Linked DNA regions of Daphnia pulex. Each later gene encodes a partner of the first gene's protein in a complex. Links are inferred from orthologs where the notes say so. Each region holds a gene or a part of one and is shown in the gene's direction. Other genes may lie near its edges.

The links.
Region 2: THO complex subunit 5 homolog (region 1) and THO complex subunit 4-like share a complex: the UniProt entries of both Homo sapiens proteins name them as parts of the transcription/export (TREX) complex. The link is inferred for Daphnia pulex from reciprocal best matches to the Homo sapiens genes THOC5 and ALYREF.
Region 3: THO complex subunit 5 homolog (region 1) and THO complex subunit 2-like share a complex: the UniProt entries of both Homo sapiens proteins name them as parts of the transcription/export (TREX) complex. The link is inferred for Daphnia pulex from reciprocal best matches to the Homo sapiens genes THOC5 and THOC2.
Region 4: THO complex subunit 5 homolog (region 1) and THO complex subunit 3-like share a complex: the UniProt entries of both Homo sapiens proteins name them as parts of the transcription/export (TREX) complex. The link is inferred for Daphnia pulex from reciprocal best matches to the Homo sapiens genes THOC5 and THOC3.
Region 5: the proteins of THO complex subunit 5 homolog (region 1) and THO complex subunit 1-like are in contact, whole or in part, in a cryo-EM structure (PDB 7APK), measured with the Homo sapiens proteins. The link is inferred for Daphnia pulex from reciprocal best matches to the Homo sapiens genes THOC5 and THOC1. Residues at the interface, in NP_001002877.1 of Homo sapiens: Tyr52, Arg113, Lys120, Asp124, His127, Leu128, Gln131, Asn132, Leu134, Tyr135, Glu136, Met138, His139, Thr145, Lys146, Glu149; in NP_005122.2 of Homo sapiens: Glu60, Arg145, Arg146, Leu147, Ser148, Ser150, Gln151, Lys285, Met286, Leu289, Val296, Tyr297, Phe298, Leu302, Ser304, Leu307, Leu310, Gln311, Ser313, Asp314.
Region 6: THO complex subunit 5 homolog (region 1) and chromatin target of PRMT1 protein-like share a complex: the UniProt entries of both Homo sapiens proteins name them as parts of the transcription/export (TREX) complex. The link is inferred for Daphnia pulex from reciprocal best matches to the Homo sapiens genes THOC5 and CHTOP.
Region 7: the proteins of THO complex subunit 5 homolog (region 1) and THO complex subunit 7 homolog are in contact, whole or in part, in a cryo-EM structure (PDB 7APK), measured with the Homo sapiens proteins. The link is inferred for Daphnia pulex from reciprocal best matches to the Homo sapiens genes THOC5 and THOC7. Residues at the interface, in NP_001002877.1 of Homo sapiens: Pro48, Asp51, Tyr52, Tyr55, Cys59, Leu62, Gln63, Met66, Ala67, Gln70, Phe95, Lys99, Leu101, Asn102, Ala105, His106, Arg108, Leu109, Gly112, Arg113, Gln115, Thr116, Ala119, Lys120, Val123, Tyr126, His127, Leu130, Leu133, Glu136; in NP_079351.2 of Homo sapiens: Ala21, Asp23, Ile27, Leu30, Val31, Phe34, Tyr50, Met53, Leu54, Leu57, Cys60, Glu61, Met64, Gly65, Thr67, Leu68, Val70, Tyr71, Asn74, Met78, Tyr81, Ile84, Tyr85, Ile88, Glu89, Ser91, Ile92, Ala95, His96, Lys98.

The regions. Positions count from the first base shown.
Region 1 is NC_060020.1:6,248,670-6,252,604, reverse strand, and holds the start of THO complex subunit 5 homolog, read left to right. Parts: upstream 1-1,135; 5' UTR 1,136-1,458; coding exon 1,459-1,578; intron 1,579-1,673; coding exon 1,674-2,108; intron 2,109-2,179; coding exon 2,180-2,365; intron 2,366-2,422; coding exon 2,423-2,555; intron 2,556-2,617; coding exon 2,618-2,924; intron 2,925-2,992; coding exon 2,993-3,218; intron 3,219-3,285; coding exon 3,286-3,352; intron 3,353-3,420; coding exon 3,421-3,618; intron 3,619-3,714; coding exon 3,715-3,830; intron 3,831-3,896; coding exon 3,897-3,935. Other genes in the region: 60S ribosomal protein L13-like, read left to right, coding at 204-377, 439-705. UniProt on the Homo sapiens protein: Component of the THO subcomplex of the TREX complex which is thought to couple mRNA transcription, processing and nuclear export, and which specifically associates with spliced mRNA and not with unspliced pre-mRNA.
Region 2 is NC_060025.1:2,695,818-2,699,041, reverse strand, and holds THO complex subunit 4-like, read left to right. Parts: upstream 1-1,237; 5' UTR 1,238-1,445; coding exon 1,446-1,631; intron 1,632-1,792; coding exon 1,793-1,948; intron 1,949-2,007; coding exon 2,008-2,121; intron 2,122-2,185; coding exon 2,186-2,491; 3' UTR 2,492-2,724; downstream 2,725-3,224. Other genes in the region: ribonuclease Z, mitochondrial-like, read right to left, coding at 1-82, 144-369, 438-624, 680-960; uncharacterized protein LOC124203100, read right to left, coding at 2,869-3,038, 3,105-3,224. UniProt on the Homo sapiens protein: Functions as an mRNA export adapter; component of the transcription/export (TREX) complex which is thought to couple mRNA transcription, processing and nuclear export, and specifically associates with spliced mRNA and not with unspliced pre-mRNA.
Region 3 is NC_060017.1:3,796,407-3,800,099, forward strand, and holds the end of THO complex subunit 2-like, read left to right. Parts: intron 1-45; coding exon 46-297; intron 298-375; coding exon 376-645; intron 646-709; coding exon 710-1,168; intron 1,169-1,245; coding exon 1,246-1,665; intron 1,666-1,740; coding exon 1,741-1,890; intron 1,891-1,956; coding exon 1,957-2,056; intron 2,057-2,118; coding exon 2,119-2,236; intron 2,237-2,295; coding exon 2,296-2,452; intron 2,453-2,515; coding exon 2,516-2,635; intron 2,636-2,697; coding exon 2,698-2,761; intron 2,762-2,822; coding exon 2,823-2,890; intron 2,891-2,958; coding exon 2,959-3,054; 3' UTR 3,055-3,193; downstream 3,194-3,693. UniProt on the Homo sapiens protein: Component of the THO subcomplex of the TREX complex which is thought to couple mRNA transcription, processing and nuclear export, and which specifically associates with spliced mRNA and not with unspliced pre-mRNA.
Region 4 is NC_060028.1:7,657,440-7,661,172, reverse strand, and holds THO complex subunit 3-like, read left to right. Parts: upstream 1-1,357; 5' UTR 1,358-1,811; coding exon 1,812-1,991; intron 1,992-2,058; coding exon 2,059-2,215; intron 2,216-2,275; coding exon 2,276-2,480; intron 2,481-2,546; coding exon 2,547-2,708; intron 2,709-2,784; coding exon 2,785-3,037; 3' UTR 3,038-3,233; downstream 3,234-3,733. UniProt on the Homo sapiens protein: Component of the THO subcomplex of the TREX complex which is thought to couple mRNA transcription, processing and nuclear export, and which specifically associates with spliced mRNA and not with unspliced pre-mRNA.
Region 5 is NC_060026.1:6,262,967-6,267,044, reverse strand, and holds the start of THO complex subunit 1-like, read left to right. Parts: upstream 1-1,278; 5' UTR 1,279-1,394; coding exon 1,395-1,436; intron 1,437-1,516; coding exon 1,517-1,599; intron 1,600-1,660; coding exon 1,661-1,953; intron 1,954-2,155; coding exon 2,156-2,378; intron 2,379-2,437; coding exon 2,438-2,543; intron 2,544-2,609; coding exon 2,610-2,878; intron 2,879-2,941; coding exon 2,942-3,071; intron 3,072-3,134; coding exon 3,135-3,343; intron 3,344-3,398; coding exon 3,399-3,542; intron 3,543-3,616; coding exon 3,617-3,764; intron 3,765-4,078. UniProt on the Homo sapiens protein: Component of the THO subcomplex of the TREX complex which is thought to couple mRNA transcription, processing and nuclear export, and which specifically associates with spliced mRNA and not with unspliced pre-mRNA.
Region 6 is NC_060027.1:3,847,523-3,851,133, reverse strand, and holds chromatin target of PRMT1 protein-like, read left to right. Parts: upstream 1-1,370; 5' UTR 1,371-1,526; coding exon 1,527-1,582; intron 1,583-1,750; coding exon 1,751-1,919; intron 1,920-1,981; coding exon 1,982-2,656; 3' UTR 2,657-3,111; downstream 3,112-3,611. Other genes in the region: tRNA selenocysteine 1-associated protein 1-like, read left to right, coding at 1-109, 176-326, 394-558, 621-1,078; protein timeless-like, read right to left, coding at 3,238-3,593. UniProt on the Homo sapiens protein: Plays an important role in the ligand-dependent activation of estrogen receptor target genes. May play a role in the silencing of fetal globin genes.
Region 7 is NC_060023.1:12,053,787-12,056,712, reverse strand, and holds THO complex subunit 7 homolog, read left to right. Parts: upstream 1-1,380; 5' UTR 1,381-1,527; coding exon 1,528-1,537; intron 1,538-1,598; coding exon 1,599-1,719; intron 1,720-1,785; coding exon 1,786-2,212; 3' UTR 2,213-2,426; downstream 2,427-2,926. Other genes in the region: ataxin-7-like protein 1, read right to left, coding at 115-202; transketolase-like, read right to left, coding at 2,447-2,926. UniProt on the Homo sapiens protein: Component of the THO subcomplex of the TREX complex which is thought to couple mRNA transcription, processing and nuclear export, and which specifically associates with spliced mRNA and not with unspliced pre-mRNA.

The DNA.
Region 1 (3,935 bases):
ACATATTTACTATTAATGTATCATGTTTTGAATTGTGGAAATTATGACAGACACGACTCAAATCAAACTGCAAATTGCTCTGGTTTCATTGTCGAAGAGTTAAATAATCCATTTGGTTTAGTGTAGCAAATGTTTTATTATGCCATATGCTCCAAAGTTTTATATATTAATGTGATCATTTTTATTTGAATTTTTTGTTTTAGGCTGCCAAGATCCCTAAGCGTTTCGCCCCAACAATTGGTATTGCTGTTGACCACCGTCGTCGTAACAAGTCTGTGGAATCATTGCAGTTGAACGCCACTCGCTTGAAGGTCTACAAGAGCAAGTTGATCCTCTTCCCACGCAATGCCAAGAAACCCCAGAAGACTGATGCTACTGTAAGAATTGTGACAAGGATTGTGTACCACCACTTTACAATAACATTATGTTTTATTTCAGCCTGAGGAAATCAAGTTGGCCCAACAGTTGACTACTGAGGTTATGCCCATCACCAGGTCTTACAAATTGGAGAAGGCTCGCGCCATCACTCCGGCCGATCGCAAATTCTCTCCTTATGCTGTACTCCGCACGGCCCGAACAACAGCACGCCTTGCAGGTATCCGAGCTAAGCGAGCTAAGGAAGCGGCTGAAGATCCTGAAGCAGCCAAGGAGGCAAAGGCTAAAGCCGCCAAAGCCAAGGCTGCCAAGGGTGGCAAGAAGAAGTAAACCGTTCTCGGGATTGTATTTTGTATTTCAACCAAAAACGGCAAAAATACAAGATTATCCTGTCTATAATGTGTCAGACGTACGTCGAATTGCCTCAGTTCTTACAGCTTATTTGGTGGAAAACTTTCGTAAAAGTCAGACATAAGAAAGGCAAAAGTTTGAAACCTTTTTAAAATATTCACAAACATAACCCACAGTAGTTTTAACATGATTTATAGGTATAAGGTGTCATTTTGCTTGAATACCAATTATTAATCCTTAAATGGGAAGGATAAAATGTATAACAGGAAAATTGCATACTTGACGATCCCTTTGAGATAATTAGTGATGTCTATATCTCAACTCATGGTTAGAGAAATGAAATGTTGGTGGTTGAATATTTTTAAGCTATCGGGAAACTCCCTTACTCATGTAAAGGTAATGTTAAACGGTTAGGTCCTCTTTCTAAATCATTGATACAATGCGCAGTCCTTTCAAGATTAAGAGTATTGTTTAAAATTTCAATTTATTTAAAGCAAGGTTCCAGGACTCGGGCTATTTTCCTATTTTCTTTGATAAAGCCTGATAAAGCTAAAAGAAAATTTTAATTTTAACGGAACTAGTTCTTAAAATTACCGCTACGTGTACCCGTTTAAGAATAAAAAGATTCAACACGTTATACAGTTTTGTCGGCCTTGCATATAGTAGACGTAGACAAGACTTATTTAACATAGTAAACTGGTAAACGGAACAAGCTTGGAAGCGGTATTAACAATGTCTAAACCTTCCAAAACTAAAAGAAGTGACTCCGAATCTATTAAACAAGATCCCAAAAAAAGCAAAAATGATGTTTCATCTATGGCAGCAGCAAGTAAAGTGAAGGAATTTTGCAAGGTACTTGTTACTTAATTCTCTTAACTTTGGTTAGATTTTTTATTGGGTAAATGATATAGTGCTGAATTTAACTTTTCATTTGCATGATTTTCTAGAATTTCATGGACATTGAAGACAAGGAAGTTGAATCCCGGACAGGGGAAAGTGACTTGAAAATATTCAAAGAAACATGTTGTGAATTAAAAAGATTGATGACAGACATTTTACAATTGAAAACATCTGGAAAAACCGATGAAGAAACCAGTAAAAAGATCATTGAAAAAAGAATAGAAGCTTCTCTTTTGTTTGTAACATTGAAGAAGTTAAATCGAATAGACAAGCTTAGATTGAAAAAGGCAAGGGATACAACCCATGATGCCAAGCAGCGTGTGGATACATTTCATTTACAACTAGAAAATCTGCTGTATGAAGTCTTTCATCTGAAGAAAGAAGTGGACAAGTGTTTGGAGTTCAAGTCTAAAGATGAGGACATTGAACTTGTTCCTGTTGAGGAGTTTTATCAGGAGGCCCCAAGTAGCATTTCTAAAATGGTATGAAAATCTACCTATTGTTTACCAACCACTACCAAAAAGTATTCTTATTTTGTTTTCTTTACATTTAGGAATTGACCAAAAGTAATCAACACAAATTGACTTTGGCTCGGTTGGAATGGGAATTTGAACAACGGAAACGTCTTTCGGAACAGTGCCGTAGTCTGGAACAAAATCGAGAAAAGGCATCCAGTGAAATCAGTCAGAAACAAAAACAACTTGAAAGCCTGTTACCCAGACTTACTTCCATACTTGAGGTAATTAAGTGATACAAAATCTAAAAGAATTTGATTTTAATATTTATGTTTCGAAAGTCCACGCGACCCTTACAAGAAGAGCTTAATTTGCCTGTAGAGCGAATCAAGTTTCAGAAAGAGTTGGCTGTGTTATTACCGGATCCACTTTACATTTTGTACAGTCAGATAAAAGCGTTCATTGAAGCATGCGGTAATTTTATTAAATTCGTAAGTTTTCTTAATCGTTACGATAAATATGACTTTAACCCGCAGATCCGTCATTGCAAATTTCTATCGAAGGTGGAATGGAAGATGCTATTAATTTTGGGTCAAAGAATAAAACTGGTTTGGACGAAATTCTCGAGGATGTTGATTCAGCGGAATCTGACATGGAGACGGAATATGAAACAAACAAACGCTCCGCGACTTCAAATAAAATGAAAACAGATTGGCAATTGACTAGGCATCCTTTACGTATTCAACTTAAGATTGAACGCGTTGTCCTTAACTTCACGTATTTAACAACATTAAATATCGTCACGGTCGACTGCAAGCCCGTTCAGCAAGACGATGGAGTAAAGTAAGATTATATTATTGCTTTCTTTCTATATGTCGAAATGTCTTTTAAAAAAGTCTTTCTCTTACTAGTCAGATTTGTATGATCGATAATCTCCTTTCCGGACTTTTTCCAAACGACCATGGGGATGAATCGCCCAGTTGGGTCAATTGTTTTCAAGCAAGGTCTATGATCAACGGTAAAATAACTGAACAAGGAAAACCTTACCTTTGGGCCCAACGTTTAGCTGGGTTAGATTTCAACGGCATCGTAAAATCGACACCTCAATCTTTCATCAACACGGAATTCGTTGAAACGGTCTCTATAATTTTTTAAACAACAATAACATAGTAAAACAAGAATAACCGTGTTTACTTGTATTTAGGTTATTCTTGCCCTAAAAAGTAGGATTACTTATCGTTTCCAGTTTGTTAAGGTTTTACACTTACTTGGTGAGTCTTATTTCATACTTGTTATAAAACAGTTTTAAAATATGCATAGTTTCTTTAACATTAAACAGAAAAGGGTGAACTTGATCTCAATCAAGACTCAAATGCTACTTTTCCACCAACAATCTATTCTCGACTCGTCTCATGGACGTCTTCTACGTATGAAGAATGCCTCGTAACGTCAAAGAACCTTGAACGGCTGTTGAACTTCCTTGAAGTAAATCCAAAAAGCCTTTCGTTTTACAAAGCAACTCTTGAAAGAGAATCCGGTATAGTTGTAAAATATTTTAAAATTTAATTTCTGTTAAGGATCCTGTATGATGAATTTAATTATTATTGGAACCTTTTTTGTATTTGAATTCCAGCAAAACTACTCGCGATGTTCATGGTTCCTGTAGACTACCCGAACTCTACACCAATTTGTTCACTTGAACTTAACTGGAATGGAAAGCACAATAGAGAAAATAGTGAAATTATACGCGTATGTATTATAGCTAAAACTTTTCGTCTTCGGTTTTGTGATATTTTACGTAATTTTTAAAAATAGAGAATCGAAGCGGAGGTTAACGTTCCCAGTACTGAACTT
Region 2 (3,224 bases), on another chromosome or scaffold:
ACATAAGCTAGAACGGCTTTGGATTTCGGGTTCTCGTCACTTTCATCTTCAACACGAGTCCTTTTAGCAGCTGGAACGTCCTCTAAGAAAATTAATTTTGTTTACATTTCGATTCTAATAATTTGTAACCACTGATAACTCACCAGGATTTCCTTTTTCTCGACAATAATAATTGGTCACATCCTCCTCTTCGATAGGAGAACTAGAAGCTGAACGTGGTAATTTTGCATCATCATTGGGCATAATAGTTACATAATTTAATTTCATGGCAGCATCTTCATAAGATGATGCAGGTGAAGTAGCATCCACATGATTGACTTGTAAATTCTTTAATATGATGAATCTGGAGGCAGCAGTAAATAATTCACCCTATTAAAATTAGATTATGATATTATTGGATCTGCATTAAAATGTGTGCTTAGATGTTATTTGTTTACCAATCCAGGTGGTCCATGGAGTGTGATATTGGGAACACCAACATCTTGAATTGTTAATGAAATTCCAGGTAATCCACCCACATTTTGCCAAGATGTACGGGTGAAGAAAATGTTCTCAACTTTGGACAGCTTAAACTTGTGCTCATGGGCCAAGCGTTGAGATCCTTCTCCGGAATTGAAGAGATAACTAAAAGCAAACAGGAATTAGACTAAAATACTTTTGCTTTAATTTAAAATGTTACCATGATTGATCGGTGAACATATAGAGGGACCGTGGTGCACCACGGACACCAGAACCCAGAACTTGTAATGTTACGGTTCCTGGTGGGTATTTTGTTTTAGTAATCTTCTTTGCCTGTCTTTCTGATTGAAGACGTGCGACATGACTCGTATCTTTCGGCATGTTGGCGAGTAAATTTAACACACGATTTTTATTTTTTATATCGCCGAATACCTTTTGATTAGAATGAAAACTACGTACAGTAACAACTACAACATTTAACAATGCAAATCGCAAATTCATTAGATATTTCTTGATAATCGGGATATTATGGGGCCTAATTAAAATTTACAGGCACTAACTTTTAACTTTAAACACGTGTTGTCATCTAGAGGGTTGAAAAGCAGAATCAAAACACCGGGCTTGGCAACCACGTCGGTTAAAAACTTAATTTGAAACTAAACTGTTTTTTATTTGTAAAATTGAATCAAATAAATTTAAATTTATTATTTGAAAAATAAATCACTTAGAATAAAAGGAGTATTAAATTATTTATGTTTCTTGTTTTTGAAACTGGCAAACGGGCAATATGGGCGCCATTGAGAGTTTGCTTAGGCTCATATTCGTTAACTTGGCATAGAGATTGAGCGTGGCGTCATTGTCGTACCGTCCCTGTCACCATCATCCATTTGTTTCGTTCTTATTGAATCTTTCTTAAACTTGTGTTTCGTTTTTAAATTGATAGTCCTTAATTTTGTCAAGTCCTCCACAAACTTATTGTTATCAAAATGGGCGACAAAGTTGACATGAGCTTGGATGATATCATCAAAACTAGCCGTTCAGCCGGCCGGGGCCGTGGAGGACGCGGCGGTCGTGGTGGCAGTTCTCGTGGAGGCAACCGTAATGCCGGCTCAGGACCCGTTCGTAATCAAAGACAGGGAAATGCTGGGGGTCGTGCTGCACCTTACGCCAAGGTAAATATTTGTTAAGTTATTCTTCTTGTTTTTTTATGTTCTATCAGAAAGTATTGCATAATCCTTGGTTGACTTGTTCGTCTATTTCAAATCCAAGCTAGTCTGTATCTTACAGTCTTCGTGATGCAATAGTGCTGACTCTTTGTGTATGTTATTTTTAGGGCAACCCAGATGGTGACTGGTCTCATGACATGTATGAAGGTGGACCAAGGAAAAGCAATCCCAGGTTGGGTGCTGCACCGAATGCTGCTGGAGGCGGCTCTTCCAAGCTTGTTGTTTCTAACTTAGACTTTGGTGTGTCAGATGCAGACATTAAGGTATAACATATATTGCTTCTCTGTCATGATGAACATGTATTGAATAATTCTATTTATAGGAACTTTTTATGGAATTTGGACCATTGAAACATGCTTCTGTGCATTATGACAGATCAGGCAGATCTCTCGGTACAGCTGATGTTGTGTTTGAGCGCCGTCTTGATGCCGTCAAGGTAAACTTCATGAAACTTGTCAACTGTAGGACACACAGCATCAATATTTGTTTCTTTTCCATAGGCAATGAAACAGTACAACGGAGTCCCATTGGATGGTCGATCAATGGTCATTCAGATGGCTACTTCCGATTTGAACACAATCGCCAACCGACTAACCAGCCCTCGAGCTAACACTAACAACGGGCCGCAACAAAAGAGGACTGGTGCACCAGCTTCCAACAGAGGCCAGAGAGGAGGAGGAGGAGGAGGCCAGCGTGGTCAGCGAGGTGGTGCTGGTGGTGCTCGCCAACGCAATCCCAAACAGCCTGCACCGACAGCAGATGAGCTTGATGCCGAGTTGGAGTCATACAGGAGTGAATTGAAATAACGCAATCGTGTAATGTTCACCAAATTATTTGATTTCTTTGAGTCCACACGTGGTGGATCAGAGGTTGAATCACTGACGCAAACTCCTGATCACCTTTACTTATTCTCCTCACCACCACCACTTTTTCAATAATGTTTTTTCTTTCGTTCTTTTCATACAAATTCAGTGTTTTGAAAGACAAACCTGTCAGACCTGGTTTTAAGACAAAAAAAAATGAAGCTTTCAGCGAAAAACCATTGTTTTTTTATTTGTGATTCCCGAGATGTGTAGAAGCCAAAAGATCTAGTAACGTCCAATTGTATCAAATTGAGTGTATTGGAAAAACTACAAATTTTTTTTTTAACAAAGTCATGTTTATAAAGATTGTGAAGTGCTTATTATGAGCTGCGAAGTGTACGGCGGATTGCTTGACGTAGTTGCTGAGCTACTGCAGCCTCGTTGATGCTGTCGATGATTGGAATTGAACTTCCACGGTAAGGAATTCGTGATGGTTGAGCGAAGGCTGCGGCTTCGCTGTTAAACTTGGTTGGTTTAGAGAATTGGAAACCTGTTTTCGTTACAAATGTTTTGTTACTATTAATTCATAACTATATTTAATTTAATCAGGTATTACTGTGGAGTAGAATTCCGGCTCGGGGGTGAAGTATGAGGTTCATTTCGGCGTTGACTTCTTCCACTGTTGTAATTTCATTAGATGTCTGACCCTGGGACAAATTGGACTCGTGCTGGTCTG
Region 3 (3,693 bases), on another chromosome or scaffold:
AATATCTTTTAAAAACAACTTAATGTTTAACTATTGCACATTCAGGAAATGGTGCATAAAATGGGGGGCATCGAAGCGTCCGAGGAAATGACAAAGGAACACATGGAAGCAATGCAAGGCGGTGAACTGTTAAGAGCTGAAGCTGCTCATTTTGGACAGGTTCGGGTTACCAAGAAAGCTGCCCAGCGTTTAAAGGAAACATTGCTCGAATCCAATTTGGCCATTCCCCTCTGTCTTCTTATCGCACAGCAGCGCAATTGCGTTGTTTATCGAGAAACAGAGAATAATCATCTAAAGGTATTTCTTTTTACAAATATTTTACATTTAAAAAATACATAGCATTACATCTTTTTTATTTGATTTTTCTTCATGTAGTTGGTTGGTAAACTATACGACCAATGTCAAGATACGCTCGTTCAGCTTGGAACATTCTTGGCTTTGAATATGAGTGTCGACGACTATGTTAGACGCCTTCCACAATTAGGATCATTGCTCTCCGACTACCACATCCATGCTGATGTCGCATTTTTTCTGGCGCGACCAATGTTTGCTCATTCGATCAATTCCAAATACGATGAATTGCGGCGTGCTGAAAAGAATTCAAAGAATTTACTTCCGGCCCAGAAGACTCAAAAGTATTTAGAGGTAAGTCGCTTGTCTTGAATATGTTTGTCTTACTTGAAATGATTCCCAAAATTGAATTTATTAGGCTGTACGATTGGTCATGACTCCCATTTGTGAATCGGTTCGTCCTTTGTGCGCGGCCAGAGTTTGGGAAGATCTATCTCCTCAATTTTTTGCCACTTTTTGGTCGCTGACGGTCTACGATTTGTCAGTACCAAATGCTGCGTACGAACGTGAAGTGCAACGCCTGAAGGTAGCCATTCAACAGACAAATGAAAATCGTGATCTGCCAGCCAGTAAACGGAAGAAAGAGTTGGATCGCTGTACGGCTTTGATGGACAAACTTCTGGAAGAAGAAAAGAAACAGAAAGATCACAATGAACGTATCATGGCGAGATTAACACAAGAAAAAGACAGCTGGTTTCTCTGTCGATCGGCTAAATTAGCAAAAACGGAGACGATCACCCAGTTTCTTCAACTCTGCCTTTTTCCTCGATGCGTTTTCACCGCGACAGATGCCTTATTTTGCGCTCGCTTTGTACAGGTACGTGCGTCTAAGTTGCTCATCATGAATATTTTCTCTGGCTAACTTGTTATTTTTGGGTTGTTGTTTGTTTTTAGCTTATGCACAATTTGAAAACACCAAACTTTTCAACGCTGATTTGCTACGATCGCATCTTTTGTGATATAACATACACTGTGACTTCTTGTACGGAAAACGAGGCAAATCGTTATGGTCGCTTTTTGTGTGCCATGCTTGAAACTGTAATGCATTGGCACTCAAGCAAGAAAATATTTGACGAAGAGTGTGCCAATTATCCTGGATTCGTTACCAAATTTCGCGTCGGCAACCAGCCTTCGGAAAACAACGATCACGTTGACTTTGAAAACTATCGTCATGTTGTTCACAAGTGGCACCACAAGATTGCCAAAGCGCTAGTTGTATGTCTTGAATCAAAAGACTATGTCCAGATTCGAAATGCACTGATCGTCCTAATACGCATCTTGCCATTCTTCCCCGTTATCACGCCTCTTGTCGGGGTAATTATTTGTTATTTCTTTGTTGAAACAAATTAATTTTTTTTTTTTAATTTTATTTGTTATACATTCTAACAGGTGATTGATCGAAATGTCGAAGTAGTACGCAGTGAGCAACGAGACAAGCGACAGGATTTATCAGCGATGGCTATTTCATATAGTGGTCAATTAAAGAACAAAAAAACGTCAATTCCAGAATATGAATTCCATCTGGTGACGAGGAAACCTGTAAGAAAGAACATTGTCTTCATTGTTTCATCGATAAAACATGGATGTTTATTTTAATTTGTTTAGGTAACTAAAACAACTCCTCAAAGTACCAATCCACTTTCTGTGGCAGCAAATCCTGGTGCTCAACCTGAGAATGGAATTGTTAAGCATGAAGGAGTAAATGGTAAAATTCCAAAAATTTCTCCTGAATATTGCTTCACCTTAACTAAATATAAATATTATTAGGGGTGGAAAAAGCTTCAACAAATTTGCATGATACTCCTACCTCTACTCCAAGCGAATCTCAGTCGAGCACTCCAGTCGCTGCTGGCCTCAAGGAGATTAAAAAAGAAAAAGAAATAAGGTAATTTTCTAACCAGCTTTAGAATCACGGCACTTTTAACAGTTTTATTATTTTGGCAGGGAGACAAAGGATAAAGTAAAGGAAGAGAGAATAAAAGGAGAGAAAGATCGGCACAAAGAATCGATTGAAAAACGAGAAGAAATTCCTGACCGTACGAGAGAGAAGAGGATAAAAGAACGGAAAGAAGATAGAGAAGATAGGCCTCATTCGGGCAAGGTAAGAAAACACGATAACTCCAAAATTACATGGTTATTAAATGTAACTGAATTATGTAATCAGCTTGACCGTGAGGATGAATGGATGGAGCGTGACAGAGAAGATCGCAAGGAACGACGTAATATCCAAGAAACCGAGGAGGAACGTCGTGAAAGGAAAGGCGAGCGTAAAAGGGTAGACAAAGTTGTTACATTTCTTCATATTTGTTGCTTTTCAATTCTGAAGCTCTTGCTTGTTTGTTGAAGGATCGGGTGCTGGAGGATGTTTTGATGGATGTCAAACGTCGAAAGGAGGACGAACGAGAAAAAGGTAACTTTTCTTATGAAAAAACTACAGTGAACTGTTACCATTTTCTTAGTTAATTTAACAGTAAGATCCCCAAGGCATGGAAACGGAAGTCCCTCTGATGGAAACGCTGATAGACGAGGACACAACAGAGTATTATGATCAACAATTTTTTTTTAAATCTTTCTCTTAAATATTACCTTTTTTTTCCTTTTGTATAGGAATCACCTCTTTCACGAGAAGCATCGGATCGTTCATTTGACCGCGCAGATAGAACAGAACGAGCCCGACGCTCCACGGACAGCAAACGGAGATGAAAAACGAGAGTTTAAAAGGAATTGATGCGTCTGCTCATTTTTCTCATTGAAATTTATTTTTAGTGAAAGAAATTTTTCCAGTCATATTCACTCCTTATGGTTTACTTCAGGCCTAGACAATAAAATTAATTTCATCGTATTTGTTTCACCATAGAATTCTCCTAGTTTGAATACTACTTTTAAGGGTATCATTAAAAGTACACAAAACAACGAAGAAAGAAAACGGAGCTTTATTTTCTCTTTAAATTAATAACTTGCGGTCAGTAACTAAACAGTTAGATCATAGGTCTGACCTGCGCAACAAGTTCTGCAGTTTTTAGCAGTGTTGGGCTACCGCGATATTATTACAAAAACAAAAATAGTACCATATCGCAGTTTCTCGTAAGGATTCTGTTTAGGTTTCGGAGAGTAGTTTTGTTTTTAACCACGCTTTTGTTTATCTTGTTTTCTGTTTGTCGTCTGCTTTTCAAAGTTTTCTTCATTTGAAGTTTTGTACATGATCAAAAGCGTGCTCGAAAGGATGAAAGCAGCTGTTATAACATCTGTTAGTGTTGTCTTTCTGGTAAATTACTTCTAAAAATTACTTTACTGACTACTTGGCAGTGAAATTTTGTTTTTTCATATCACTAAAACAAGAAA
Region 4 (3,733 bases), on another chromosome or scaffold:
TTATTCATCTAATAATATCCAGCGAATCTCGAAAAAAAAGGTCTAAAAAAGAAGAAGAATGGAATGCAATTAGCATAGTTCATCAATATGGAACAGGCAACAATAACGCAATCATCGTCGGGCGGAATGCCTATTGTAATAGAAACTCTCCTATATATATTATATACTTAATGTTACAACACACACAGCAGAGCTGCCCTGCTGTATTTATATATATATATATCCGCGTTGTAAATCACCGGGATATATATAACGGGCCAGCGGGTCCAATCTCCATAAAGTGTCGAGGCACACCAGCAACAAAAAAGCGTATCATCGGAATCGTATTACCCTATAGACGTTTTCATTTGAAGGGGAGAAGGAAGAGTTTTAAATAAAATAGAAGGAAAAAAAACCCTTTTTTTTCCTTTATTTCTTATATATTTTTATTTTACTACTCTTTGGGTATAGGCCAACGAGACGAGTCCAGTGACCAGCCAAAAGGTCCAGGGAAAGAGAGAGAAAAAGAATCTTTTTGGGCAAAACGAAACGAGACGTTCGCAGATTTACGACTGCGATATGTTATTACGCACACACGGGACCGATTGGCTATCAAAATAGAAGAAGAAGAAGAAGAAGTTCTTTTGGTGTGTGTAATGATGGAGAGAGCAGCCAAAGAAAAAGGAGGTCCAGTAGGAGCATCAGCAGCAGCCCAGGCCAGGCCAGGCCACAAGGCGCGCTTGGACGCCCAGTCGCTTTTATCGTCAGTTAACGGGCAAGAAATTTGCTTATTTTATGGCCGTCTTCTTTTTCTTTTCTCTCCTAGAAGAAGAAGAAGAGGGGGACTCGTAAATTTCCCTTTTTTTTCTCCTTACTACCCCCGCTCTCTTCTTCCATCGACTATACAGCTGTAAATTCTTGTAAAGTCGATGCTAACTCGTTAGTCGTTAGCGTTATATAGAAGCCGTTCTGGTTGTAGTTGTTGTAGATGTCTTATGTGCTGTGTGCCGGCGCTGTGGGTCCAGCATGCACTGGCAGAGAGAGACTACGACTTTTTGTTGCTTTATATTACCCCGATGCCCAAACACGGATCATTTGATGATTGCGCGCTGTGAAAGAAAGAAAAAAAGAACAAAATATAAGAAAACTGAAATCTATATAGTCGTAGTTTTTGAAGAAACGGGCATAGCTGCTGCTGCTGCTGCCCATCCCAGTTGATTTGGACTCGGTTCTTTTGGCTTTGGCGCATATTATTGCCGTGTAGATATATATATATTTATCGGACGTGTAATAACATTCAAAATGGCGCAAGCTCCACAGCTATAGTTTATATGTGTAGCTGGGACTTGGGAGAGAGAGTATAATATTCATGCAGCTAGATCTCGTCTGATAGAGGCTGGACGCCCTTCGCTTGTTGAGTTCATTGTGTGTGTGTGTGTGTGTACTAGTCACGCTTGATTACGGTGTGTGTCCCGTGTTTGGTAACAAAAGCATTTCCACCTATCCGCCCACCCTACGCCTTTTTTATTTTATTTTTGTTATTTTGGGCCAGCCAGTCGATAAACGTATCGTTTAACGTCCGACTAATCAGAGCCAATTGAGGAGACGACATTACCACCACGCATTCCTTGCCCGACCCCTTTTTTCTTTTATTAGTGAGTTAGGAATTTCAAATTTCGCGCTCCAACTGCCATCTGGCGGATGAAGAAGAGACTTGGCATTGGAAATGGCGGGACGACCGGCTTCGCGTTAGTTCGTCTGCACACACTGTGTTTTGTTGACACGCGAGTAAAGGTATATAAACCGCTTTTTTTTCCCGAAATTATAAGAAGATGGCAGTCGCCGAATTGGAAGAGCTGAAAAATCATTTTAAAACGCACACTCGAACGAGGGAAGTCTCTGCACATTCGGCCAAGGTTCACACGGTTGATTGGAATTGCGATGGAAGACGGTTAGCGTCGGGTTCCTTTGACAAGACGGTGTGCATTTTTACTATGGAAAGCGACAGACTGGTTAGTATTAGTCCCGGCTTATCAATCATGCAGCAATTATAATGGAGCTTGAGGCATTCTGTTTCAGGTTAAGGAGCAAACGTTTGTGGGACACAATGACAGTGTCGATCAGCTATGTTGGCACGAAACCAATCCTGATTTGCTCAGCACCGCCAGTGGAGACAAAACCATGAGAGTTTGGGATGCAAGAGTTAAAAAGAGTGTCGCCACAGTAAACACCAAGGGTACAATTAATTACGAAATTATGCTTAAACATTCAATCCTTCATTAATGTGATTTGACAGGAGAAAATATCAACATCACGTGGTCACCTGATGGAAATTCCATTGCAGTGGGAAATAAGGAAGACCTTGTTACTTTTATTGATGCCAGGAATTTTAAGATTAAAATAGAACATCCGTTCAAGTTTGAAGTCAACGAAATAGAATGGAACAAGGCTAGCAATCTTTTCTTTTTGACTAGTGGGCAAGGCTGCATCCACATATTAGAGTAATGATGAATTTTCTTCCCCCTGCTTTCAATCTAGCATGACGCTATCAATTCTCTTGTATCTAGTTACCCAGAGCTTACGACCGTTCACGTCACACAGGCTCACCCCGCCAACTGCATTTGCATCGAATTCGACCCCACTGGACGGTACTTTGCCACTGGGTCGGCCGACGCCCTAGTCTCTCTGTGGGATGCCGATGAAATTGCTTGTTTGCGCACTTTCTCCAAGTAACATTAATGCCAATAATAACGTGCCGTTTTCTATTGAGGTTATTCAATTACTGACTGGGTGTTTCCCCTTTAGGTTGGATTGGCCAGTTCGGACATTGAGTTTCAGTCACGATGGGTCCATGTTGGCGTCCGGGTCAGAGGACTTGCTGATCGACGTCAGCCACGTAGGTACAGGCGAGCGCGTTATCAGCATTCCAGTTGACACGCCAACCTTCACAGTCGCCTGGCATCCACGCTCTCACCTGCTGGCCTACGCCTGTGACGATAAAGACGACGGAAACAGAGACGCCGGAACTGTGAAGCTCTTTGGTCTCTCTAACGAGTGATGGGCCCATACGAATCAAAACTAGGAGGTCTCGTGTTTTATACAGAATCCAGCTTTTTTTTTTTTATTTTTTCACTTGCAGATTTTCTTGTTTACTCTTGTCAAGAACTATTTGCCAAGCTTACAAACTTCAACTGTGTTGAGAGAGATACAAGTAAAATGGATCTCAGATCAGAGATCTTTTCCAGAAAACTGAATTGTTCCAGGACACATTTTCCCTTTTTTTTAACGTTCAAACATAATTAATTACTCAATAATAATTTTCGTTATTACTAGATCCCATATTTGTTAAAAGGTGATGACCGTTCGGCACAAATTTTTAGTCAATAATGAAAAAAACAGGGCGTTAACGTTTAAAGAAATACGACGCTTTTATGCAAGCAGTCCATCTAGGTAAGACTTATTCCTATCCTTATTCTATTACTAAAGGCAAATTAATTTAAGTTGTCGTGATAATAAGCATATTTCGTAGAAACAGATAGATTGATAGTTTGTGTTACATCATACGTGCCGTTGATTATGTACAAGGCTAAAATGTCGTTTGATATTTCGTAACGGTAGTTGGTAAACACTAAACACACACACCCATATATAGGCAGCAAAGCGGCACATAGACGAATGTATCGTTTTGCTCGAGTAGATTCATGTTCATTGTTCTCCGCAGCTAGAACGTGAAATACTCGGAATGCTTCTCGTG
Region 5 (4,078 bases), on another chromosome or scaffold:
AACTTTTTGTCAATTTTGATACTTCAAAGTACAAGTACATCTTGGCATTTTGCCCTGGAGACAGCGTTGTGACTGTTTTGTTTGCGTACTTTAGCTTGAGATATAGTAATGTTTTGCGAGTTATCCTTTACTCCCATCAATTGTTACTAGCCAATGCAGAGAGTAAATAACCCAAGATAATTACATTAAAGGCTTGACAAAGAGTTATTGTAGCCAGCAAATAAAAAACAAATCGACAAAGTTTTTGGCAATCATCCTTCTTCTATTCGTTCACAGGGACGATTTGAACAGAGAAAACAACTTCTTCTCATTAAAGGCTCTCAAAGCGATCGCCATCTACATGTTTAATTACAATAGAATAAGGCCTAAGGATTCGCGTTTCTTGCTTCAGCTTACGTGCCGCGTCATCTTTCGTTGATGACGTCCTGCAGTCCAAATGACACAGATAAATTGGTTTGAAATAAGTAAAATTTTATATCTTTTATCTGGTGTTTTATAATGCTACTAATAATTTCCTTTTAATTTATTCTTATTTGAGATGATCAAAGGCGAAATAGGATTTTAAAAAGTGCCACAAACGGCGGTTCCCTGCAGTAAAGAATCGATATCTCTAATCCTCTATGCCTTTTCCTGGTGCACTTCAGGAAGTAGACATAAAATCAGAGCTCGTAAGCAAACAGAGGTAGTTCAAATATAGAGACTAGAACAAGGTTATGAAATCTCGGTAGATAGTGCAGTCGATACTGTAGTTGTAATATGGCAGGCAATACCTGCCGATTTTCATAGGAAATCAAATGATAAAAGTAATACGAATGGAAGTTGAAAACATTCGAGTATTTGAATGCGCTTAAATATTGTTTAGTAGTGAAATGAGTAGCATTGGAATGCTATTGAAAATATTGAGTTCAAAAAGGCTACTTATTGTCGATTACATTAAACATGAGAAATGTCTTAAAATTAGGTAGTTTTTATATGGGAATTTTATCTTTATTAAACTCGGTGCAGTCCCGCGTTAGATGATTTTTCAAAAAAGGACTCTCTTTTGTAGAACACCATTTTTATTGATCCGTCGACTCGCCATCTAGGGGATGATAATCGAGTAACATTTTTGTATGAAAACGTCAAAACGGTAATCTCAGTCAAAACATATTCTTTGAACAGATAAATTATTTGATTATCACCGATTACTTATTAGTTAAACTTGAATGGTTTGACATTTACTTCTTTCCAGAATTTCCGCTTTCCGGGATTCGGAAAAAAAAATCAAGTTGATTTTAGAATGGCAACATTGCAATTTACAAACTTGGCAACGCAACCAAGTTTTGAAGCGTCGTCTGATCGTTTCGAAAACACGACTATTTTTATGTTTCTTACTTTGTAAAAAAACCACTGAAATGGAAATATTTGATTTTGAGAAAACTCGGTGTTCGTTTCTGGTACAGTAAAAAAATCTATCAATGAGCCATATTTGAAATAAATTGAAAAATCTTATGTCTTCTGTGTTTGGTTTCTGTAGGATTCCATTTCTGAAGCTCTTAAACTGGGTGGTCCACCCACTATCAGTGAATTACTTTCAGTTAACAATACAGCTCATCTTGGGTAAATTTAATCAAAGCAGAAAGTATTTACATATTATTGTAATTAAACATATTTATTGTAGGGAAGCTGATAAAAAAGCTGTATGGGATCAGGCGTTTAGAGACAGATTTTTGAGTGATTCCTCAAACTTTTCCATACCATTGTTTGAAAAGTTGTTGCAGTTGAGTCTGGATTGTGCAGTAGCTCTAGTATGTTCTCCAACACTGCCTGTGATTTTGCTCACAGATGCTTTTGACATCCTGTCTCTGGAAAAATGTGAGGAAATTTTCTACATGGTTGAAATGAAAGTAGCGATTTGGAAACAAGAGCTTTTCTTCAATCAGTGTAAAAATACCTTACTTCGCCTTTGCAATGGTATGTAAAGACATTTTTCCAAAATTCTAATAATGTATGACACAAATATTTATGTAACTGGATGCATCTAATTCTGTATTGATATGAATTCAATCCATTACTCTTATTTCAATGTATACCACTCTGCTAAATTCATTTACAGTGTTTCGCTTTATGTGAGTTGTGTTGCTGAAATGAATTTTATATGTATATTTTTTTTCAGATCTGCTGAGGCGCTTGTCCCGAAGCCAGAACACGGTTTTCTGTGGTCGAATTCTTCTATTTCTTGCAAAATTTTTCCCATTCTCTGAACGATCCGGACTTAACGTAGTAAGCGAATTTAATTTGGATAATTTGACGACATTTGGAGCTAAAGATGAAAGCTACGCTGCTGATATATCTGCTAATTCTGAAAAGCACAAGGATGCAATGGAAGTAGAAGAAAGGTATATATATTTGATTGACAAGTTATTGCAATATTTTTCTAAATTTTCTTGTTTTGTAGTTTGAGCTCCGACTACAATCTGTACAAAAAATTTTGGTCCCTACAAGATTTCTTTCGAAACCCTAATCAGTGCTATACGAAAATCCCGTGGAAAACGTTTTGTTTGGTAGCTAAAACATCAAGTATTTCAAGTTAAAATTTTCCATCTAACAGAAAAACAATTATTCTTTAGCATACTAGTGATGTTTTGTCTGCATTTTCTACTATCAAACTGGATGAGCGGAGAAACCGCTCTAAATGGGATGAGGCAGATGTGGCATTAAACATCGATATGAATGAAACCAGCATGAATGGTGGAAATGTCCAACAATATTTCGCCAAATATTTGACGAGTCAAAATCTTCTCGAACTTCAGCTCGGTGACTCCAACTTCAGACGTTACATTCTGCTGCAGTTTCTGATTATGTTCCAATATCTGGATTCACCTGTCAAGTTTAAACAGTTAGTTTCAATAAGTTTCATTAGTTAGACTATTTCAACCGCTTGAATTGCTTCTATTTATAGCGAAACTCACAAGCTCAACGAAGAACAAACTACGTGGGTTTCCGAGGCTATCGATCAAGTCTATCGGTTATTGAAAGATACACCTCCAGATGGCGCTTCTTTCGTCCAATCTATTCGACACATACTAAAGGTATACTGAGTTGTATAAAAGTAGTTTTAAAAAATATCATCCATCGGTGTTTGTTGGATGTAGCGGGAAGAATTATGGAGCAACTGGAAGAACGATGGCTGCCCGGAATTCCGGCCCAGCATAACCAGCTCAACCACTGATAATGATACTATAAAAGATGGTACCAATGGAGAAAAAAAGACGATCGTAGTTGGCCGACCAAGACGGCTCAAAAGAAGTCTTGGAGATCAGATTCGAGAAGCTTCAAAAAGAAATAAGTGCATTATTGGAAAGTAGGTAAATTATGAAATTATTTGAAAACATTGAATTACAGCTTTTTCTCTTTAGCGCTGAGATGAATCGTTTGTGGAATCTATGTCCTGATAACATGGCTGCCTGTCGATCTAAAGATCGAGATTTTCTACCTACATTAGAAAACTATTTTGAGGAAGCCATTGAGCAACTGGATCCTTCAGTGGAAAGCCAGTACAAGTAAAAATTTGCACTTTAAAGCTTACATTTTTCCGAAAATGTTTTAACTGAATGAGCGATTTTCGTGTTTCCAGGCGAGTTAGTGAGGCTAATTTTGGGTGGCGTGCTTTGCGGCTTTTGGCTAGACGAAGTTTACATTTCTTCACTCATGGTAATACTCCTATCACTCGGCTGCCAGATTACTTGGAAACGCACGTTCGCAAACTGGCCAAGGACATGCAGGTAGAGTAAAATCAGATGAATATCACGGTTCCCATTCTGCAATACAGGGAAAAGTCAGGGATTTAGGTTCTCATTTGGGAATATATATATATATTTTTTTTTAATATTTTGAGGTATTTTGAATTTTGTTATCGAGACTCATAACTTTTGCACGGGTTTTGCTGTTAAACAAAGATTTTGAAATAGTTGATCCAGAAGAAATACAGACGAGTTTGTTAGGTGTCAGGTAATTTTTCACATTCATTTGTCTGGAAATCCCTGGATAATCTTGATATATTACTGGTTTTGTAGTTGGCTTATTCAAATAATATGAT
Region 6 (3,611 bases), on another chromosome or scaffold:
GCACACTGGATTACCTGCTGGTTTTGGATTTTGTCAGTTTCGAGATGAAAAGCAAGCAATGGAAGTTCTACACAAATTGAATGGCAAAATCATTCCATACAGTCAGCCGGTAGTGTATTAACTTTTAATTTACCATAATTTATATTAGTTATATTATCTGTTTTCCCACTTTTAGCCAAGCCGTTTCAAGTTAAATCACAGCACAAACACTAAAGGTTCTACAGCCGATCATGCACTGTGGGTGGGAGATTTGAGTGCTGATGTAGATGACTATGGCCTTTACAAATGTTTTTCTGCAAAATATAACTCAGTTCAATTGGCAAAGGGTAATTTGTAAAATTTCTGTAATGATTTTATTGGCAATTATCTGAACTTCTCGTATTTTATGTTTAGTGGTCAGAGGCAGCAATGGAGAAAGTCGCGGCTATGCGTTTGTTAATTTTTCTAATGAAAGTGATTACAAAGATGCGCTGACACATATGCAAGGTCACAGAGGACTCGGCAGCAACCCACTTAGAGTTTCATTGGCTATTCCTCGTAATTACAACATGATACCTGGTAAATGCACGCTTAAACTTTTCTTTGGAGTACATTTCATTTCATACTCTTTTAACTTTTAGGATCCTCATCCAGTACATCTTCTACTTCTACGTTAACTGCATCGATTGCTTCGTCAATTGTCCAGGCCGCAGCCAGCGGCCAGCCAGTTCAACCTCAAGCTGCTGCTGCAGCAGCTGGCTACGGACAGTACGTCGATCCAGCCTATTGGCAACAGTACGGTGGCTGGCAAGGATATGGTTACCAAGGCGGATACGGCTATGATGGTCAACAAGCTTATGCCGGATATGGCGTTGCTGGGCAAATGCCTGCTCAACCTGAAGAAGATGAGTTTGAGCTCATAGAACACAATACACCCGTCGATATTGAGAAACTGAACAGAGAACTTTTTGAGCGCAATCAGGATTTGTGGGATGCACTAGATGAAGCTCGCTGGACAACATTCAATCCAGAGAAAGCCGTTCCGGCAGTTAAAGCTGAGGAAAACGGAAGCAGTACTCCTACAGTAGTGGCCGCCTAATTTCTTTTTATAAAACACTATTGACCATCTCATACGATAAAAAAACAAAGATTCATTTCTGCTTGTCATCTGATTTTGTTTTACAGAATGAATACATTGATTTCAAATAAATACAGATTTCCAATTCTTTCACTTTCTGTATTATCTAGTATATTTAATTATTGACATGATTCTACACCCATAAAACATTTCCTCCACCCACATTTTTTAAAACATGCACTCTTACTCAATCGTAAATCACGACATACTTTCTTTTTTCCGCTAGGTGTCACTTTACTACCCAATAGCAGTCGAAAAAAGTTGAGCGTCATTAGTTCACAGCCGGGCAAACATCAGCAATTGTTTTCATTGACTTCACGAGAAACATTTCTAGATAGCTCGAAATTATCTGTTTTCGGCATTTTCTTGACCGTAATTGAACTTTGGTTCAGCAGTATTCTAGCACAAAATGGCTTCAGGAGGCAGAGTACCAAATAATTCAACTTCCTTATCCTTACATGAAAGGTATAAATCATTAGGCAATTTGGGTTTGTTATGTCGTATATGCGATTGAAATAGTTGTTTGCCGCAATTTTCCCCCTGTTAAACATTGAATTTCCTTGCTTTTATAAAGTATGTGTTGATTTTCTTCTCATTTGCTGATTTTTAACGCATGAAAATTTTTCGTTACAGATTCTCCAAATTACGAAGCTCAGCAGGGGGTCAGAAATTGGCTGGAAAACTGCAAGGGGCTAGAAATAATGCAGCTAATCTTCAAAAGGCATCAAGCAAGAATAGCAGACTAGCTCAACAGATGGAAAGACGAAATGCATCAGTCAGTGCTGCTTTGAAACTGAAAAAGGTGCAATTCCTCGTTTTTAATTCATAACCAGATATACTTACATCATTTATACTGTTATTCAGAAAAGCATCAAACAACGCCTTGGAGCCACAGTAAACACCAGTACTCGATTTCGCGGAACGGCCACCCAAACTCAAAGGAGACTCACAACCAATCGTGGAGCTGGTCGCGGGAGTCAGTCGCGAGGATCTCTGCGAGGAAGTCGAACGCAAGGGCAAACGGTCACCCCAACAAAGATAATTCGAGGCCGGGGCGGACTGAAGCCCATTGTCAGCCAAACAATCGTTCGTGGCGGTGGACAAGGAAACAAGAGAAGCACTCGCGGAAGAATCATTTCTCCATCGAAAAAGCCAGCCCCCGTTGCTGCCACAACCAATCGTTCGCCGACCAAACCTTCGCGTGCTAGAGGCAGCGTGAGAGGAAGACGAGGTGGTCGAGGGCAGATGACATCTTCATTGATTACCGGGCAAGCTGAAAGTCGTATCCAGCGTGGAAGAGGAAGAGGACGAGGCCAACGTGGTGGTAAGGGACCCAGTCGTGGAGGAAGCAGCTTGCCGACATCTCCGCGCGGTCAGACATCCGGACGTGGTCGAGGGCGTGGTCGAGGTGGCTCTACCAAGGTCAGCAAAGAAGATTTGGACAAGCAATTGGATCAGTACATGCAAAAGACTCGTAGCGCTCTAGACAATGATATTGAATCCTACATGTCTAAAATTGGGGACGTTGAAATGAATTAAATATGCAATAATCTTTCTCCAGTCGTTACCTCACCTGTGCTGCTCCCCAACTTCAAACGAAAGAACCTTCTTACTAATAACTCCCCTTCGCCAAGTCTTGATTGACTATTAACAATGTTTTAGTCCTTAAAGTTAAAAGTGAATCCAATTCAGAATTTGTCTTTGAGAAAATGGTTGGACTGTTGTGAAGAGTCTAGACAGAAAAAAGAGATTTTGGACAACCTTGTCTTGATTTCATTCTAGCACTTGATTAAATGGTTCTTGTACTTTCCCCCAGTTTTTGGAGTCCCTTTTTGCCGTGTGTTTCTTGCTTTTCCCTCCTGTTACGGCGCACTTAGCACATGTATCTTTTTATAATTCATTCATATTTCATCCGAGGACTTGAGTGTGAAAAGGTGTGCCTGTGAAACGAGAAAGAGAAACTCATCCCAAAAAATACAAATGATTAACCTCAACACTAATTTGATTTTTGTTCCTTCATTTAATCGTCGCTGATCATAGACAAAATTACAACAAATTACTCTAATGATTGGCCAGCAGTAATCAAGCGGGACCGATCGAAGCTAAATTAAATGGATAAGCTACAATTTTCCTACACAACTCAAGTCGAAATCAACTTGCTGATGGGCAACGGAACCCAACGAAAGAGCAACATTGTACAGAGTGTCTGGTGACCATTCGAGTGGGATCCTTGGATAGGTGCCAGCGTTAGGAAGCGAAGGGAAAAGACCCAGTTGACGCAGAAAAAAGCGAAAGGGTTTCGAACTCAATGCGGAGGCTTCCGCTTCCGTCCAAGGGACTATCGGGCATGGCGTATTCAATTTCAAGCTCAAACAGGTAATTGGATGACGGAATTCGTGGTCGGAGTAAATGCCCAAACGTGCTGCACAGGCCGTCAATAAAGACGACTGAATCCAATCGAGTTGTTTCTGAAATCCTATATTTATCGATACAT
Region 7 (2,926 bases), on another chromosome or scaffold:
GCCGTCCATCGAGATAGGCCGAAGCCGTACCGATTCGATAACACCATCAAAACAATTTTCACAAAATATCCGTTAGCTATCAAGAAAAGACAACTTATAAGGCAATTTACTCACTTAATGGACTATCTCTGCCTAATCTATCAGCCCAAACAGACCAAGGCTGGCCATGAAGACTTGTTGGACTGTCATCGTTGGACGCCATCTTTGTTAACAGAAAATTTTTTCTTAATTTCTCCTCTCCGAGACTCCGTCTTCTTTCCTCACCTGCAACAGCGTTGCAACTATAGTGAAAGCAGCTCGGCAGCTACCACTGCCCTTGATGCCTTGCCTCCTCTAATTACTCTATGGCATTAACACCCATTGGACTATTTCAAAATTACCTTTAATATAGTACTTGTATATTTTTCCTAGAATTAAAAAATGCGTTGCGTTTCTTTGCCACTTGAAGACCTTAATGTGTAAGCGTACTAAAGTTGTTGATTCTATTCGTTGGCAATTTATGAAATTTTATGATGATTTAATGATGAAATTATCTTCTAGCGAAACGTTCTAGCAATAATTTAAATCCTCAATCGTCCGTCTATTTTTTTTTTAATTTTGGCAAAAGATTTTATGCATTGCGGAACTCAAAAAGTACATTTTTCTTTGCGCTAAGTATCTTTTTACAATTTTCACACATGGACTGCAACAAGTATGACTATGAGAACAAGCTGCACATAATCATAATGACATCAACTGATAAACACATATGTGAAAATTCCCCATTGAGGTACCAAATCTCTCTCAACTCAGTTATTTTATATTACCAACCAATCAACCATCTGACATCTTGACAAATACAACCATTAATTGACATGCACCTTTTATACTTACAAATAAATGTTGTTTGTAAGTATCTTGCACCCAAAATTATTTTTTCACTGTCAGTTACACACCTGTTTAAAATGAATCTGTCAATCTTGATCACCAATCTCAATTTTCAGGACAATAAAAACAGGTTTTCCTAGAATGTAAGGCAACAGTTTAATTAAAAAGAAGAGATTGACGTTAATCTGGAAACGAGAAAAACAACACTCCAGATCCAGCATTTCATTGGATTCTTTCCTTGACATCACCTGATTGATTCTAAACCGTTCAATGGTTTCCCAAGTATATTGCTGATCTGCTGGACTAGCTCTCTTTCGGTTTTGCTAATGTTTATACAGGCATGCAAGTTTAACCCTAAACAAAATAGATACCTAATCAATCGGATGATTTTTTAAAAAGCCATGTCTCCTTCCTTTCATTTGAGGGGCGTGTCGTCTGCTGGCGGATTTAAAAAACAAAACAAAAGACGAGCGAACTACGCTTACGGCAGACGAAAATATTTTTTCATTTTTCAGTACTTTCCGGCGTTTCCGCAGCGACATTTCTCCTAGGTTTGTCATCTCATTCTTTCGCCCGGTTTGACATCTCAATATTCTCAAAGCTTTACCAGTTAAATTGTATTATTATTGGTCTTATTTTGATCCCAATCATTATTCACAAATGGGAGATGGTAATTTGACTTGTTAGTAATATTATTTCGGTTAATTTTCATCTTGTACTTCGTTATGTAGAAGAGATCATCCGAAGGAGGCTGTTGTTTGATGGCGAAGGAACTGGTGATGAAAGAAGACTTAATGTATTGCTTAAAGGTTTCCTAGCTTGGTGCAACTCTACAGATAGTGTTGAAGAAACGTAAATTAATCTTTGTATAAAATTCTTCTATACTCTATATGTGATGTATTTTTATTTGTTTTACAGACAAGCATCCTACGCTAGAATGATTGGTCAGATTGCCCAATGTGAATTTGCTGCCACAAAATCCTTGAGGTGCTGTGAAATGAACACTGCAGAACAGCAGCACTATGACGACCTCTACAACCAGATTGAAGAAGGAATTGTGTCAGCTAAAAAAGACATTGAAGCAACCAAGAAGGAGTTGCAAGAAGCAAGACAGATTCGCAGGAATAAAATGGAATATGATGCTTTGGCTGCCATTATTCAAACACAGCCTGATCGAAAGAGCAACCAAGAGAAATTATCCCTATTGCGACAGGAACTGGAAGCTTCAGAATGTGAATGTCAAAAACTGGAGGCCAAATTAGAACAAAGACGCAAACAATTTCACTTACTCATTTCAACTATCCAAGGATTACAGCAACTTCTTAACGATGATGAAGCATCCTAATAATTGTTCATTTTGTATGCATCCCTTTTTTCTATTTTTGAATAATAATGCTAACAAATAAAAATCATTTGAAACACCAAAAAAGCTATGTATGAATAAACTATCCAAACGGTACATATACGACTTGGAATGCCATAGAAGAATGTTTCAAAAAACACCACCAATTCTTCTCAACTATCCATAGACCTCTGGTAAGGAATGGGTATAGGAATGAGTGACTTAAAAAAAGGGCGTTTACAACGCAACAAGTTTTTTCGCGGCTTCGGCAATAGCCTTGGCGCCGATTCCAAAATGTTCTAGGAGAACCTCTGGAGGACCGGAGCGGGGAACTTCGCGAACTGCCAAAATCTTGACGATAATATTTCGTTGTTCGGCTAGAGTTGAAGCAACAGCCTCACCCAATCCACCTTCTGGGTAATGGTCTTCAACGGTCAAAACCCGGCCGTTGCAACGAGTGGCTTCCTTCAACAGCAAATCGTGATCAATGGGTTTGATGGTAAATGGATCGATGACAGCAGCCTTGATGCCGGCTTCCATCAGCATGTCGGACGCCTTCAGCGCTTCGTGGAGTGTAACGCCGGCGCCAACGATAACCAAATCGTCTTGATCGTGACTACGAACAACGTGACCCTTTCCAGCAGAGAAAACTTGTTCGTTCTCGTAGATGACGGCTGTGTTGGGGCGAGATGTACGAATGAAGCAAATTCCTTTGGT